Linked DNA regions of Lonchura striata. The protein of the gene in region 1 purifies or fractionates together with the protein of each later gene. This does not show direct contact. Links are inferred from orthologs where the notes say so. Each region holds a gene or a part of one and is shown in the gene's direction. Other genes may lie near its edges.

Region 1 (7,008 bases):
CCCATAAAGGCACGGATGGGGAAAGAGCCTTTCCTGAAGGATGAGGTGGAGGCTGGAGCTGTTTAGAGTGACACTCGACATTAACAGATTGTTTCAGTTGTGTGTTGCCCAGACAGCCTTGAAAATTTACAGCTGGCAATTTCCTCTGAATGCCTCATTCCTTTCACTTCAGGCTCACCAACACCTGCCTTGTCTTTGCCTTATTTCCTCAGCTCTATTTTATTCTCTTCCCTGCTCTTTCCACTTACAAGTCCTACTTTACCGGCCAAGAAATTATGATACCAACATGGTATTTTTCTCTTATTTTTATAGCTCCTCCCTCAGCTTTCCCAGATGCACAACCCCTAATGCTGACACACCACCCAAGAAAGTCATTCTGGTTCTGAAAAACCAAATTGACCACAGCTAAAGAAGATGTTCTGCTAAAGCAAATTTACAGGAAGAGCATCCAAAAACAAATAAAAAGCTTTAAAGAGTAAAGAAAAAAACCTCTTTAGTAAAAAGAGTAAAAGGAAGAGCTCGCTAACTTCAGGGAGAGAGTTAACAAGCATCAGTTGCCTATCCACATTACCTTTATTTTGTGATACTCTCAGATCTTGGTGGCCCATCCCATCACCCCTGAACAGGGATTAGAAAAGCATTAAAAAAAAATATTAACTCCCACAAATTGTAGAGCCCCTGTGAAGAACAAATAGATCCCAAAAGCTCAGTTACTTAATTCTGCCCATATGGTACCCACTCCCTGCTTTGGTTTGTGCTACTGGGTCTCCCTTCACCAATTTTTTTTTTCCAGGCTGAAGAAGCCTAGCTCCCTCAGCCCCTTCTCCACCTTGAAGATGGGCCCTGTTGGACTTGCACAGGGCTTTCCACATCTTTCTTGTAGTGACGGACCAAAGCTCAGGCATGGTGTGCCACATGCAGCTGCTGAGTGACCAGCAGAGAGAAAGAATCACTTCACTTGATGTCCTGGTTCTGCTCCTTTTGATCCAGCCTAGTGTGCAGATAGCTTTTATCACTACCAGGCCACACTGCTGACCTGAAACCCAAGCAAATTTTTCTATTGATTCCAGCAAGGCTGAAATACCAGACTGAACAGCTAATAAAGGAGACATCAAACATGGAACAGTGGCAACAAAACAGCAAGCACAAGCTTACAACAGCTCCTGATAGCATGTGTGGGAGAAAAGCTGTGATCAGATACACCCATCCTGCTAAAACAGCTGCTTTTTACTGCCTGCCCTGAGTTCCTGAAGCAGCCTTCACCTGGCTCCTTACAGAAGGAAGGTGGGAAGAGTTCAGTTTTCCCAGAGCACAGCTTGCAGGAAGATAGGAAAGCTATTTCTAAAAAAAATTTAATGTGTTATTTGAGATAACAGTGATGAGGCAAAAACTCTCCCCTACTCAAGCACAGGATTTAGCAAACAAACTGGCAGAGCCAACCCCCACTGTGTTTGTTACTCCTGCAATTTATTAAAACCACATTGCAATCTGGGCATTACCAACACCTGATGAAATTGTGAAACTGCATCCACTCTCAAAATAGTTAACATTCATTTAACAAACTGATTTAATGATTTAAACAATTGCTTCTAACATGCATATACACACTAAGAAAATAGAAGTGAACCTTCTGCACAAGCAGAAGGAGTTAAAAGAATCTGACTTTTTGGTCTCTTACATCAGTTTGTTTTGAACACCAGAGCTAGCTAAAACATCAAAACACACATAGGGACTGTTTATTCTAAGTGCTAGAGTTACAGCCCTGCTTTTAACCCAGCAACAGCTCGCTATGCCATCCATTCTACTGGAACCACGTTCAAATGCAATCCCAGTAGCTTCAGTGCTACCTTCGATTACAGTCACTCTGCTAAGGCCAAGCCCCCAGAGCAACAAACAAGCTGAAATAAACAAAGCACTGTTACCACTCTGACACAGATGTTAACAGGATGCAGTTCCTTTTAGGCATAATAAAAAAATTCCAGCTCTTCAAGCCTTAAATTCTGCAGTTTTTCCAAGAAACTTAACTGAGGAATTAAGTGCAGCAATACATCACATTAAGGCAGTATTACATCACACAGGATCTTTTTTGGCACCACACCACCTTGCATCCTCTGAGATTCTGCCCAAAACACAATTGTGCATTTGAGTACAAGACTTCCCCAGCTTTCCCAGAAATGCAGTAAAAAAAAAAAAAAAAAAAAAAAAATCACATAACACACACCCACAAAATGAAGATTGAGGAACTGGAATCCCCACAGCACTTCTAGAACTGGTCAGGCAATCAGAACACTGTAAATATGTGCAATTGTATTTGTTTATATGGTTTTCATCGCACTGGCAATCTTTTGGGGATGACTACAGATGCCTAACTTTAAACTGATACATTTCACAGAAGGTATGGATTAAAAAAAATCCTATGGGAAAAAATAGTTTTGAGCCTGATCCAGCAGCTACATGGTGGAGCACACACTATCTGTGAAGTCAGAAAGCCAACAAAGGCTTCAAAAATATAGTTAAGTGTCCTTCTTATGACTTACTAGCAACAGCACAGCATCTTCCTGCTAGATACAAACTTCACACCAGATGTAACTTAGACACTATGCCTGAGCAGTCTACACACCACATAACATTTTTTTTTTGTGTGTGTTTTAAAACTGTGCAAAAGTGCTTAGCATCCCTTCCATACTCCTAGCCATAGCACAGGCAAACAACGCCTCAGCAAATCTATACAGAGTTTCCTTTGGAAATCATCCAGAGGGCATTCCACAAATCAAAAGTATCACTCCTATAACAAGCTTCACAGACCAGTGTAATGCCATCCCAAAAACAAAGTAACTGCTTGAAGAGATAGAAAATAAAGTTTGTTTCGAGAAGGGAAATTAAATACTTCCTAATAGTAGCCTCCTCACAGAAGTGAGTAATAAGCTTCTATAGCTAAGGGTTTTTCAAATGAGGGTTAAAACTGAAAAATGCATCTGTAGGCACAGAGTACATTCACTGGTAGGAGCTTTTCCATGTGGAAGTTGGCAAGCACGTCCTCTACTCCTTCAGGCAGCAATGAGATGAGCAACCACAGCATGCCAAGCTTGTGCCGCCACAGAAAATCTCCGAATCACCCCTGTTCACGTTTGGTTTCCTACTACACCTCACACAGCTCGATATTTCGCTAAGTCTAAAGCCAGCCTTGCCTGAAGCACAATTTGGAGGGCAGCTGCAGGAAGCTGGACATGCCATGGACAGAGGCACCGTAAAGGAGGGGACACACACCGCCCTCGCACTCTGCACAGGCTCTGGTGGAGAGCATAGGACTGCTGGGGTAGGGGACAGCAAGCACCCACCGAGGGCTGGTGCCCCTGCTGCTCACAGGGCCCACTCTACAGCTGAGATATTCTGCTGCACTCCACTCCCTCCCAGAGAGAGGGAGGGACCTGTAGGGTAATGCCCGCCATTCCACACAGCCCCCACACGGAGGGTGCCCCATCTCCCTCGGAAGCGGCGCCTCAGCGCGAACGGGATGGTGCTCGACCCCCTTCCGCTCCCGCCATTGCGCCTCATGCACGCGCCCGGGGGCGCCCAACGGCCGCGCCGCTCCCGCCCCCTCCCGCCGCAGCCCCGAAAGCCGCGCTCAGGCGCGCGCGTCATGCCGCCACCGCCGCCGGCCAATGAGAGCGCGGCCAGGCCTGCGCCCGCGCTTTGCGAGCACGGAGGCAGGGCGCCCCTGAGTGACAGCGCGGCTCGGCCTATCGGGGAGCGGCATTCCCCCCCTTAGCGCTCAAAGCGCTGCTGGAGAGGGGGCGGGTCCCCTCTACTCCCCTCCCCGCCGCCCCCCCGCCCCTCGCCCCCTCCGCCGCCCCTCGCCCCCCCGCCCATCCGAGCCGCGCAGCGGATTGACAGCCCGTCTGACCAATCACCGTGGCGGCCGCCTTCGCGGCGGCACATCCCGGAGCCAATGGGAGCGGCGGCTGGGCGGGGCCCCCGAGGTTTCCAAACGCTCCGCGGCGCCATGGGCTGAAAACTAAACCGAGATGGAATCTCCCAGTCTGAACCGGTTTGAGCCGGTTCCGTGCCTGTGGCATTAGGAGGGGGAGACGCGCCGCGCTCAGTCCCCGTCGCCGCCGCCGCGTGTGTGACCTGCTCGTAGGGGACCTGTAGCTGAGGGGGCGAAGTTTAGTGCGAGCCGCGGGGGGGGGGTGGCGGGAATGGGGGCGAACTGAGCGCCGGGCGGGGAGGGCGGCAGCCGCAGGGGCAGCGAGAGCCGGCGGGGCCGGGCCTGGGCGGCGCGGGAGGCGCAGCCGGGTAGAGATCCCCCCACAACAGCGAGGTCGGAGCGCCGCGCCGGCCGCTTTCCCGGGGCTGTGGGGAAGGCGCGGAGCCGAGCGCGGAGCCCCGGGGGCAGCTGCGGGCGCCTGGTGCAGCCAGGCCGGGCACGCTGCGAGGGGAGGAGTGGCGCCACTAACCCCGACCCACCACCGAGGAGGGAGCGCTCGCCTTCCCCCCCACCTCTTGCCGTGGTGGTTTTTTCCCTCCTTCCGCGCTGTTTTTTTTTTTTTTTCCCTCCTTCCGTGGTCTTTTTATTTTTTCTTCTTCATTTTGGGAAGGGATTATTTTTGGTGGTCTTTTTTTATTTTTTTTTTTTTTCTTGTGGTGTGTGGTGGTTAGAAACTTGGCTCGCTCGCCCCTACTTTCTGAAGGAAGAGGCTGTGAGAAACCCCTAGGTAAGCGAGGGTTGTGGGGGTGTCGCGATGGGCAACGCGGAGGGGGCAAAGGGGGGTATTTTGAGGGGCAGAACGGGGGGATGTGCCCGTGCAGGGGGCCCCAGTGCCTGGCCTATGCTAGGAGAGATGTGATGGACCCCGTGGAGAAGCCCTGAGGGGCGGGGGTGCGCTCGGATGGGGTTTGGGGTACGAGCATCCCCGGCCTGGCCGAGCGCAGCCACGGATGCTGCGGGGGATGCTCCTCGTTAGGAGGGGCCCGGGCAGGCTGGGATCGGGTACGGGCAAACCCGGCGACATAATCTGTAAATTATTAGGAGTGGAAGTTTCCAGAAATATTTTTTGTGTGTATGTTCTGTGCAGCAGTATTGAAACGTCCGCCTGGATCACGTGGGGAGCCCTGTATAGCGCGCAGGGCTGGAGCTCAGGGGAGAAGGGGGAGGAGGGAGGGGGAGGCTGCGGGGCCACCGCGCTCCGCAGGGCCCCGGCCCGCCCGACCCAGCCCCGGGCCCTTTCCCCGCCGGGAGCCGGTGCCCCGCCGGCCGGAGCCGGGAGCGGCTACCCGAGAGCTGGGCGCTGCCCGCCCAGGGGCGCTGCGGCAGGAGCCGGGGAAGGCCGCGGCGCTGGGTGGTTATTTCCAGCCGAAAATGAACGCTCCGAGGTGTCGGTCAGATGTTGCTTAATCCGTCTCGTCCTTCTTCACGTGTGTGTGTGTGAAGGAGCAAAGGGAAGGGGCGGTTTCGTTGCCATTGCTGGTGTGTGGAGCGTGATGCGAACGCGTTTGTCGTGCGCTGCGTTTCATAGCCACTCACCCCTCCTGGGTGGGCTTTACAAGTGGTGCAGCTAATTCCTTGGAAGAGGGAGGAAATTCACTTGCATTGCGTGCTTGGAAATGGGGCATAGTGACTCTCCCAGGGTGGGTTTGCTTTTTTTTTTTTTTTTAGTCTGCCCTCAGTGAGCTTTAAATATCTGGGTTAAAGGGTGCTGCTGTAGGATTCATGGTAAATGCTCAACATTTCTCACTATTAAGTGCCTGCTGTTATTCCTGTGTGCTACGGGCCAAAATGAATCGGGTGTACCACAACAAGCTAACTGTTGTGTTAAAGGTCCAGGGTCATCGAGAGTTGGGATAACTGTGTAAACAGTGCTGTTAATGCAGTTCTTTTGACCTTCGGTAGATGTCACATTCTTGCTGTGTTGTAGTCGAAATTTTTTTTTTTTGGTTTGGTTTTTGCTTTTTGGTTTTTTTTTTAACTTTTTCTCTTCTGCTTCTGTTTGCTCATTTATTGAAGGACTGATCACTGGTGGTTCTTAGAGATGAGGCTTAAATGTGTTCCGGAGTTCAGCATGATGGGGGAGGGAAAAGTGTAGGAGTATAGTAAATCAGAGATTATAAGCTTCATGTGGGTAAAGGGTTAGGACTGGGAGATCGAGTTGGCTGCAGGTGGTGGTGGCCACAAAGCCGCCATTTCTGTGTTTCGGCTGGCGAAGTAGGTAGGTCATATTGAAGATAATGCTGGGAGTGGCGAAGGGCCCTATTCAAAACATTTCCTTTCTGCTTCCATGTGTTGAATAACTTCTCTCGGTCACGCTGCTCCTCCTTGGCGCTCTCGGGGTGGCCTGAAAACCGCCGAAAGAGGCTCAAGTCTGAAATGAATGGCCCTACCTGAGGAGCGACTGGTGCACGACATTTATTGTAGTTCGGAAACCGCTATCCCGGCTCAGCCATGGAGGCCAGGTGTGGACAAAAAGGGGCGTGCCTGGGAGCATTAACTGCTCTGAGCCTCTTCATGGGTGCAGTTTCCTTCTAGTGGTGCTGCTCACTGGCTCTCATTTGCCAGGTGACATTTTCAGTCCTCCTGAGCCAAAAGAGTGGAATGAAGAATGAAGTCAGCCTTTTCTGCTGCTATGTTTTTCGCTTCCCAAGTTAACATAGCAATTTTGAAAACATTAGGAGTTGAAGGAGGGAGGAATAGACATGGAGTGTTAATTTTAACTTATTTTGTTCCCTAATCGATATTTGTTTTCTCCTGGTTTTGTGGGAACATGGAAGAAGACTTGATTGGATGTTGAGATGAAGCTCTTGAAATGGTTGTGTTAGTGTAGTAATACTGAGTTTTCTAGTTGAAAATACAATTAGAATATTTGGGTTCAAAGCTATCCTTATATATAGAAGTAACAGAAATTCCTTGACACTACTTGCAAATGCACATTTCCAAACAAAAGATTTTCCTTGTCTGTATGGTACAGTAAAACTTTCACTTAATTAGTAATTACTAGGGTTGAGGCACAGGTT
Region 2 (7,153 bases), on another chromosome or scaffold:
CTTTGTTCAAGCCTAGAAAGCACTTTTCAAAGCCTGATGCTTACATGAAAAACGCTTTTTTTTCCCCCTTGGCAGCGAAAAATGAAGCTGACCGTCAAGCTGAGAAGCGCGAGATCAAGCGCCGGCTGACCAGAAAGGTACTGCTGGCTCCCACGGTGACAGCCACCTGGCAGGGCTGCTGGGCATGGTGGCAGCAAGCACGTTGTAGGTACCGTGCTGTGGGCGAAGTCACAGGGCTCTTGTGTAAGTGTCCCCAGTGCCCTCGGACTGCAGTGACTTTGGAATGTGGACTGTCACCCACCGTGAACCATTGGCACCGGGGCCGTGTTTTTGTCAGTGACGGATCTGACCTGGCAGCGAGTGTAACAAGCAAGATGAGAACTAAATTTGGTACCTGATACTTTTAAGGTTTGCTGGCCTGGCTGCTTTAACACGGTGTTTCAGCAGCCACCACTTGACACCAGGCTCCCTAAAATCCATTTCTAAAGGAACTGCAATGTGGGAGCTGAGCAGAGTAGCAGCTGCTTTTAGCTGTTACATCCAGGTTACTTGTGATTGTTGCTCATGGCTGGGAAAAGCTTCCCCAAGGCCTGTGGGTGTGAAGTGTGAGTGCTGCCATTGCTGAAGCTGTGTTTAGGGGCGTCATGCAGGGCTCACCTTTGTAGCAGCTGTTCCCACACTCCTCAGTGTCTTTCTTCATGACAGTGTGGCCCAGGTTCTGCCCTAGCCTGGTTTTGTGATCCTGGTGAAAGTATCCAGTCTGTAAGAGGTTTACCTATCCCCTTGCAGGCTGCACACAGGATCTGGTAGTGTCCGTGCTTAAGGCACAGTGAGGGAACCAGTTCTAGTTTTGCTTGGGGTGCTTAGTCCTGGACCTGCTTTGTGGACAAGGCTCAGACTAACCTCCTTTGTTTTTCCTGGTGTTCAGCTTAGCCAAAGGCCTACAGTGGCAGAGCTGCAGGCTAGGAAGATCCTGAGGTTTAATGAATATGTGGAAGTAACAGATGCCCAGGACTATGACCGGCGAGCAGATAAGCCATGGACAAAGCTGACACCAGCTGACAAGGTAACTGAGTGTCCTGTCCCCACATGGGAAAAGGAGCCAGACCAGGGTGACCCACACAAACGGGTGTGAGCCAAGGAGATTTGCTCTGTTCCTCTGGCTTCACCTCCTCATCTTTCCCTCTGCCACCCCATGTGTGTGCTTTCACTTGCATGTGCTGTCCCAGGTCTGCTTCCTGCTGCCTCATGGCAAGGTGGGAGCCCTGGTGGGCACAGTCTGAAAGGCTTCTGCCTCAGCTTCTGAGTGATGTAAGAATCATAATATCATGGAATCGTTAAGGTTGGAAAAGCCTTTGAAGATGATGGAGTCCAGCTGTTTACCCAGCACCATCATGTTCAGCAGTAAATCATGTTCCCAGGTGCCCCATCTGCACATTTTTGAACAGTTCCTGGGATGGTGATTCTACTACAGCCCTTTCTATGAAGACATTTTTCCTTGTATCTCATCTAAACTTCCTCTGGCTCAACCTGAGACAGTTTCCCTTTGTTCTGTCACTTGTTACCTGGGAGAAGTGACCAACCTCAGCTGTCTTGACCCTCCTGTTAGGGAGTTGTAGAGAGTGAGAAGATCCTCCCTGCACCTTCTTTTCTGCGGGCTCAGGCCCCCACCTCACCCAGCTGCTCTTGGTGCTTCGGACCCTTCCCCAGTCCCATTCTCTTTTCTCAACACAGCAGGGGTACTGAGTATTGGTCATAGCAGTGCAGCTCCCTGCAGGCTCAAACTGGCGGGGAACATCTGTCCTTGTTCTCCCAGGCCACCTTTGGGGACTGCCCAGACTCGTCGGGGAGGGGCAGATTAAATTCAGCTTGGTCTTAATGGACTGTGAAAGCTGGGGTGGCTGCTGGAATCTGAGCCCTTTCCTTTCCAAAAAAATCTCCCTCTCTGTGCAGGCAGCCATCAGGAAGGAGCTGAATGAGTTTAAGAGCTGTGAAATGGAAGTGCATGAGGAGAGCAAGCAGTTCACGAGGTGAGAATGTATTAATATAAAAAGTTTTGGTCTTGTTAGACCTGTCAGAGCTGTGCTGCAAGGACAGTGCTCAGTGGCAAAACACTACAACCTTAGAAAAATTATTTGTGCAGCAGTTGGAGATTGAATGTCCCTTTCTGTCCCTGTCCTGGGGGGTGACTGGAGTAGCAGCAGACACAAAGTGGGTTGTTTTTACTTAAACTGGGGCTTCCATCCTGATGGCTCAGTGACCAGTGTCTAGATTGAGGTGTATCTGAAACTAGTGTGAAGCTGCAGATGGAGTGAGCTTTTCTGGGGCTAGAGATGTGCAGCCACAGCCACAAAACAACTTGCTAATGAGTTACCTTGGGTGTAATCTGTGTAGTCAGGTCTGGATCATAGCCTAAATGATTCCTTTCCTTCCAGCTCTGTGTGGCAAAGTTGAGTGCAGAGCACAGGAGGTGAAATTATTTGATGTTCACAGCTTTCCTGAGGGCTGAGAGTTCTGAGATAATTCAATACACTCTCTTTGGCCATCTACAGTGCCCAAGTAACCATTTAACCTGAGTTCCAAAGATAACACTCAGATTTTTTCCTTGCTTTCAGGTACCATCGACCATAATATTCCAAGGAGGGAGCAAGAAACCTGGGAGGGCTGGAAGAGTTCTCTGCATCCCCCTCTGAGGCAATACAGTGAGGGTGGAACCTCAGCTCTTCCAAGATTTGCCTTCCAAACATATCCAGAAAAGGGCTTCTGGCCAGGGAAGGGGAATCCTGTCTGAATGTAGCATTTCACTGGAGCAAACACATCTCTCATGCCATCAGGCTGGAACTGACACTATACCTCACGTGGCTCAGCAATATGACTCTGCCAGGAGACCGTGTCCAGGGGAAGGACCCCTTCCTTCCCAAGCTGTACAGACTTGTCTTGGGGAGAGCAATTCCTCATTTCCTCCTCCTTTCTGTGAGGAAGGGAGATTAAAAACAAAGGCAGCTCTAAGGTTGGGAAGCTGAGGAGAGCATGTGCTCAGAAGCATGTATGTGTATATTAGCTGTGTACAGAGAACCCTGGCAGACGGCTGACATGGCACTCGGTGGTTTTTGTGAGGTTTTCTTTTCTGTCAAGTCGTTAATGCCCTGAATCACTACTGACCAACGGTTTGTTGTCCTGGAAGGGAATTGTATAGATATTAACATATGCTGCATCTTTTTGTTAAAAAAAAAGAAAAAAACCCAACATATGTGTAAATGCTCTGCACTCTCACACTTGCTCTGATCTTAATAACAGATCCAGAGATATTTAGGCTTGTTTAACAAATTACAGAACCAGGAACAATGACTGTTGCCTTTTTAAAACTTTTTAATTAGGAGAAACTGTGAGAGTAGTCAGTCCTTTTTATTGTGGCTTTCTCTCAAATGTTTTTTACTCTCCCAAATCAGGGTTGAAGGTTGCCTTTTTCTCATTTTTACAGCTAAACCTACTGGAAATTTGATCGTTTCACTGTGTGGATCAAAAGGAGGGGAAGAATAGGTTTAAAAAGTGACCTTAAAAAGATGGTATTTCTCTTCTGAGAGAAAAATTCTTCCTCAATGCGGGTTGAAAAAAAAAAAAATCCGGTAGGGCCACTGCTGTATTATGCACAAAACTAAACTATCGGTGAGATGTCACTTGTGCGGGAGGGCGGGAGGGAGAGAAGAACTCTGTCTTGCTCACAGACCAGCGTGGCAACACGCCGGCTATGGCCCAGCAGCCGCTGGGGGCTCTTCCCTCACAGCATCCCCTGTACAGCCGCCATTACATTGTATATCAGTCTCCGCAACAACAGATTTTAATTATTAAATAAAAGTATTTTAGAATTCTTTTTCTTAAACCCTGCTTGTGCAGCCGTGTCTTTTCAGCTGATCTCAGCAGGAGCCTGACCGGGGCTCCTGAGGGGGAGGGGGGCAGGTCCGCCATGGCGGCGCCTCCCCTCAGGCTTTTCGCGCCCTTCCGACTGCGCGTGCGCCAACCGCCCTGCCGGCCGCTGCGCAGGCGCGGCTGGCCCGGCCCTCCGCGGCGCGGCGGCCCCGGCGCCTCTGCCCATACACGGTGTGTCCCCGCCGCTCGCGCCTGACGCGCCTGCGCGGGTTTCGGCCCCGCCCCCGCGCGCTATAAAAAACGCCGCGCGGCGAGGCTCGGCCTTTTTCACCGTGGGGAGCGGCGGAGCTGACAGGTGAGGTGCCATTTAGTTTTACCCTTTTTGCCGTTTTTACCCTTTAAATCCCTTTTCTTGCTGTGGTGTGAGGTCCTGCGCTGTCAGCGGATGCCCGCTCCATCCTGGTTTTAACGCTAAACTACGCCGTGAGTTACACGTGGCTGCGGGTGCTGCGGCGCTACCTCAGCCGCCCCTCACAGCCATTTTCTTTTCCCACAGGTTCCAAAGTCTCTTCAAGCTTGGTTTGTGCGGCCCGCTGCAGCGTGAGTATCCATGCTTGCCGTGGCCTGGGACGCGCGGGGGCCTGGGGGGATCAGGATGGTTATAAAAGTTAAAAGTAAAGGTCCAACGTGGATATCCGGAGAAGTCGCTCTCTCTCGGCTCTGTCCGTGTGGCGCACGGGAGCGCAGGCCCTCGGGCCCGTGACGTACAGTCCCTTTCCACGACGTTGGAGAGCAAGCCGGGCCCCGAGCCTGCAGCCTGCATATTCCTACTTCTTCTCTGAGCCCTTGGGCCGTTACAGAGGAGACAAACCATGCAGGAAACACTTCTTAAAAATCGGTTAGAAACTGTTGATAATACACTGACACGCGGGGTGGGACGGTGAACACATGCGGAGCTGGGAGGGAGAAACAGAAAAACACAAGCACCTGAGAAATTCTTAAAGTACCTTTTTTTTCATTATTTCCAGTGCCAATATCGGAAAAGTTGGAGTAAAACACGATTTTTGAAGGTAATTGCGTTTAAAATGTAATATTGTGTGTAGTTGCAAAGATGTTTCTAAAAAAATGGGACAGTAATAAAATCCCAATCCGGTAGTAATGTCAGTTCAGATCGCAGGCTTCTAGCTTCGATGATGGTGTTCGATTTTGGATGGATGGGGAAAAGAAACTCCTGAGTCTCGAAGGGGGAAAAAAAAAAAAAGCCATCATGAATCTTGGCAAACAGGAAAAAAAATGGCTAGAGATAAACTTGTGTACTAAACTTAAAACACAATTGCTGTATTGTGGGACACGAGGAACAGGCAGGAAAAAAACGCTCTATTTTTCCTAGAATATTGCAGAAACTGCTGGGGTGAAGTAACAAGGAAAAATCCGTGGAAGAGGGGTGAGTATATTAAAGAGTGCCCAAATTAGGTAGTTGCCCGAGTACTGTTAGTGCACTACGTGTGACTAAAACGTAGCCACAGAAATCAAAACGTGGTGGAACCAAGGATGTATAAATCCAGTGGTTTTATAAAACACGTCCTTGGAGCGCAGTTCCTGGATTTTGTGGATCAGGGCCTGGAGGTGCACGCGGTATGGGTAAGCTGCACGGGAAGGAGGGACAATTCCCGGCGTGAGGGGTTGGCTGGTCCAGCAAAGAGCTGCTTTTGGGATGCTTAAAACTGGGGAAGGGGAGTGGGGGGGATCGTAAGGGTTAAGGAGATACCGCGTGTGCTCTCCTGCGGCTGCACTTGCCAACCTTGCTGATTCCGACGTATATAGGATGTGAGTGGAAGCAGTTTGTGTGTTCAGGCCCTGAAATACAGCTCTCTCTCTATTTGTAAATCTGTACCTGTATACAGTAGACAAAACAATAAACTGAATTTAGCTTTGGCTTGCTGTGTGTTTTTGGTGAATGATCTGAATATTAATGAAAACTTAATGCTCGGCGTGGTGCCTCTTGCGTGGAAATACAATTCTTGTTTGGTGCTGACCAATCTCAAAGTAAATGATGCAGAAATGCTCTGTGGCACTCTTGGGGCTGGACTGGGAAGCAGATTCGTAATTTAAATCCGGATTTGGATTATCTCAGGGAAGAAAACGCTTCATATTAAGGGCTGAGTCAAGAAGGGGTTGATGGCGTCTGTTACCCCGGGGTGTAGCTTGTGGGGGGAAGCCGGGCAGGGCATTACAGGGTTTCCCCTTCCCTTGGAAAGGGGAGTGGGGTGGGTTTGGGGGAAGTGCTGGTGTGGGGTGGGTGGAATGGGCATCAGCAGTTGGCCAGACGTCCTGTCCTTGGCTGCGCAGTCCCCCGGGAAAGGATCAGGGGGTGGCTGTGTATCTGTTCATCAAAGCTCCACATGGGCCTGGAATAAATAAATCGATGGTGATGCCTCGAAGCTTTTCCGGTCATGGGTTGTGGGTGACCCCTGGAATCACTGTCGATAAGCAGATGAGGCTGCTGTACCAGCCAAGATGTTAATTAGAAACATCATTTTATTAGTAAAAGCTGTTACGGCCAAATGCAGGCCTCTGGACTGGAACAGCAGAATTAGTGGAATAAGGGTAATCACATTGGATGAAGGGAAAATTTGAAAGTTCCCTGTCTTCCTGTTAGCCTGAGAAGTTTGGTCTAGTTCCTGTTCCAAGAGTAAAAGTGTATTTTCCACTTAATGCAGCAGTAGGTTGCTGGAAAATATGGTAGCTCGGACTTGCTGGATTTCAGTACTCTCTTACCGTTGTTCTGCGCGTGTAATTACTGAGTTTTTTTGCAGCAGCTCTGTTCCATCACAGCTGGCTGCAGCCTCGGAGGCTGGCAGCATCTCTGTAGGTTAGGAGCAGGATGAGTTACAGATTTATTGTCTGGGGGCTAACGTATTGCCGACCGCGAGCCTTGCCTTGTGCTGCCTGTCCCTCTGTCTTTCTGTCCCCTCGTCCTGTACTGCCTGTCCTCATCCCATCCCCCTGTCTCGTCCGTATTTCTGTCCTCCCATTCCATCCTGTCCTATCCAGCTGTCCTCTTGTCCTCATCCCACGCTCCTGTCCCTCTGTCCTGTCCCCCTGTCCCGATCCCACGCTCCTGTCCCTCTGTCCTGTCCCCCTGTCCCCGTCCCGTCCGTCCCGTCCCGCCGCCTGCGGGCGGCGCGGGGGCCGCCGGCCGCCAGGGGGCGCGGCGCGGCGCGGGCGCGGCGCGCAGGCGCAGAGCGGAGCGCGGCGGCCCGGCGGACGGTGAGGGAGCGCGGCG

The links.
Region 2: the proteins of XPO1 (region 1) and RCC1 purify together in Homo sapiens (affinity purification with mass spectrometry; 3 studies listed by BioGRID and IntAct, with this or other methods). This does not show direct contact. The link is inferred for Lonchura striata from reciprocal best matches to the Homo sapiens genes XPO1 and RCC1.

The regions. Positions count from the first base shown.
Region 1 is NC_134605.1:25,060,022-25,067,029, forward strand, and holds the start of XPO1 (exportin-1), read left to right. Parts: upstream 1-3,998; 5' UTR 3,999-4,122; exon of another isoform or gene 4,123-4,137; intron 4,138-4,333; exon of another isoform or gene 4,334-4,659; 5' UTR 4,660-4,715; intron 4,716-5,257; exon of another isoform or gene 5,258-5,373; intron 5,374-7,008. UniProt on the Homo sapiens protein: Mediates the nuclear export of cellular proteins (cargos) bearing a leucine-rich nuclear export signal (NES) and of RNAs.
Region 2 is NC_134628.1:104,630-111,782, reverse strand, and holds the start of RCC1 (regulator of chromosome condensation), read left to right. Parts: upstream 1-4,133; 5' UTR 4,134-4,222; intron 4,223-4,423; 5' UTR 4,424-4,467; intron 4,468-4,549; exon of another isoform or gene 4,550-4,754; intron 4,755-4,895; 5' UTR 4,896-4,937; intron 4,938-7,116; exon of another isoform or gene 7,117-7,137; intron 7,138-7,153. Other genes in the region: PHACTR4 (phosphatase and actin regulator 4), read left to right, coding at 76-137, 929-1,066, 1,954-2,030, 2,616-2,631. UniProt on the Homo sapiens protein: Guanine-nucleotide releasing factor that promotes the exchange of Ran-bound GDP by GTP, and thereby plays an important role in RAN-mediated functions in nuclear import and mitosis.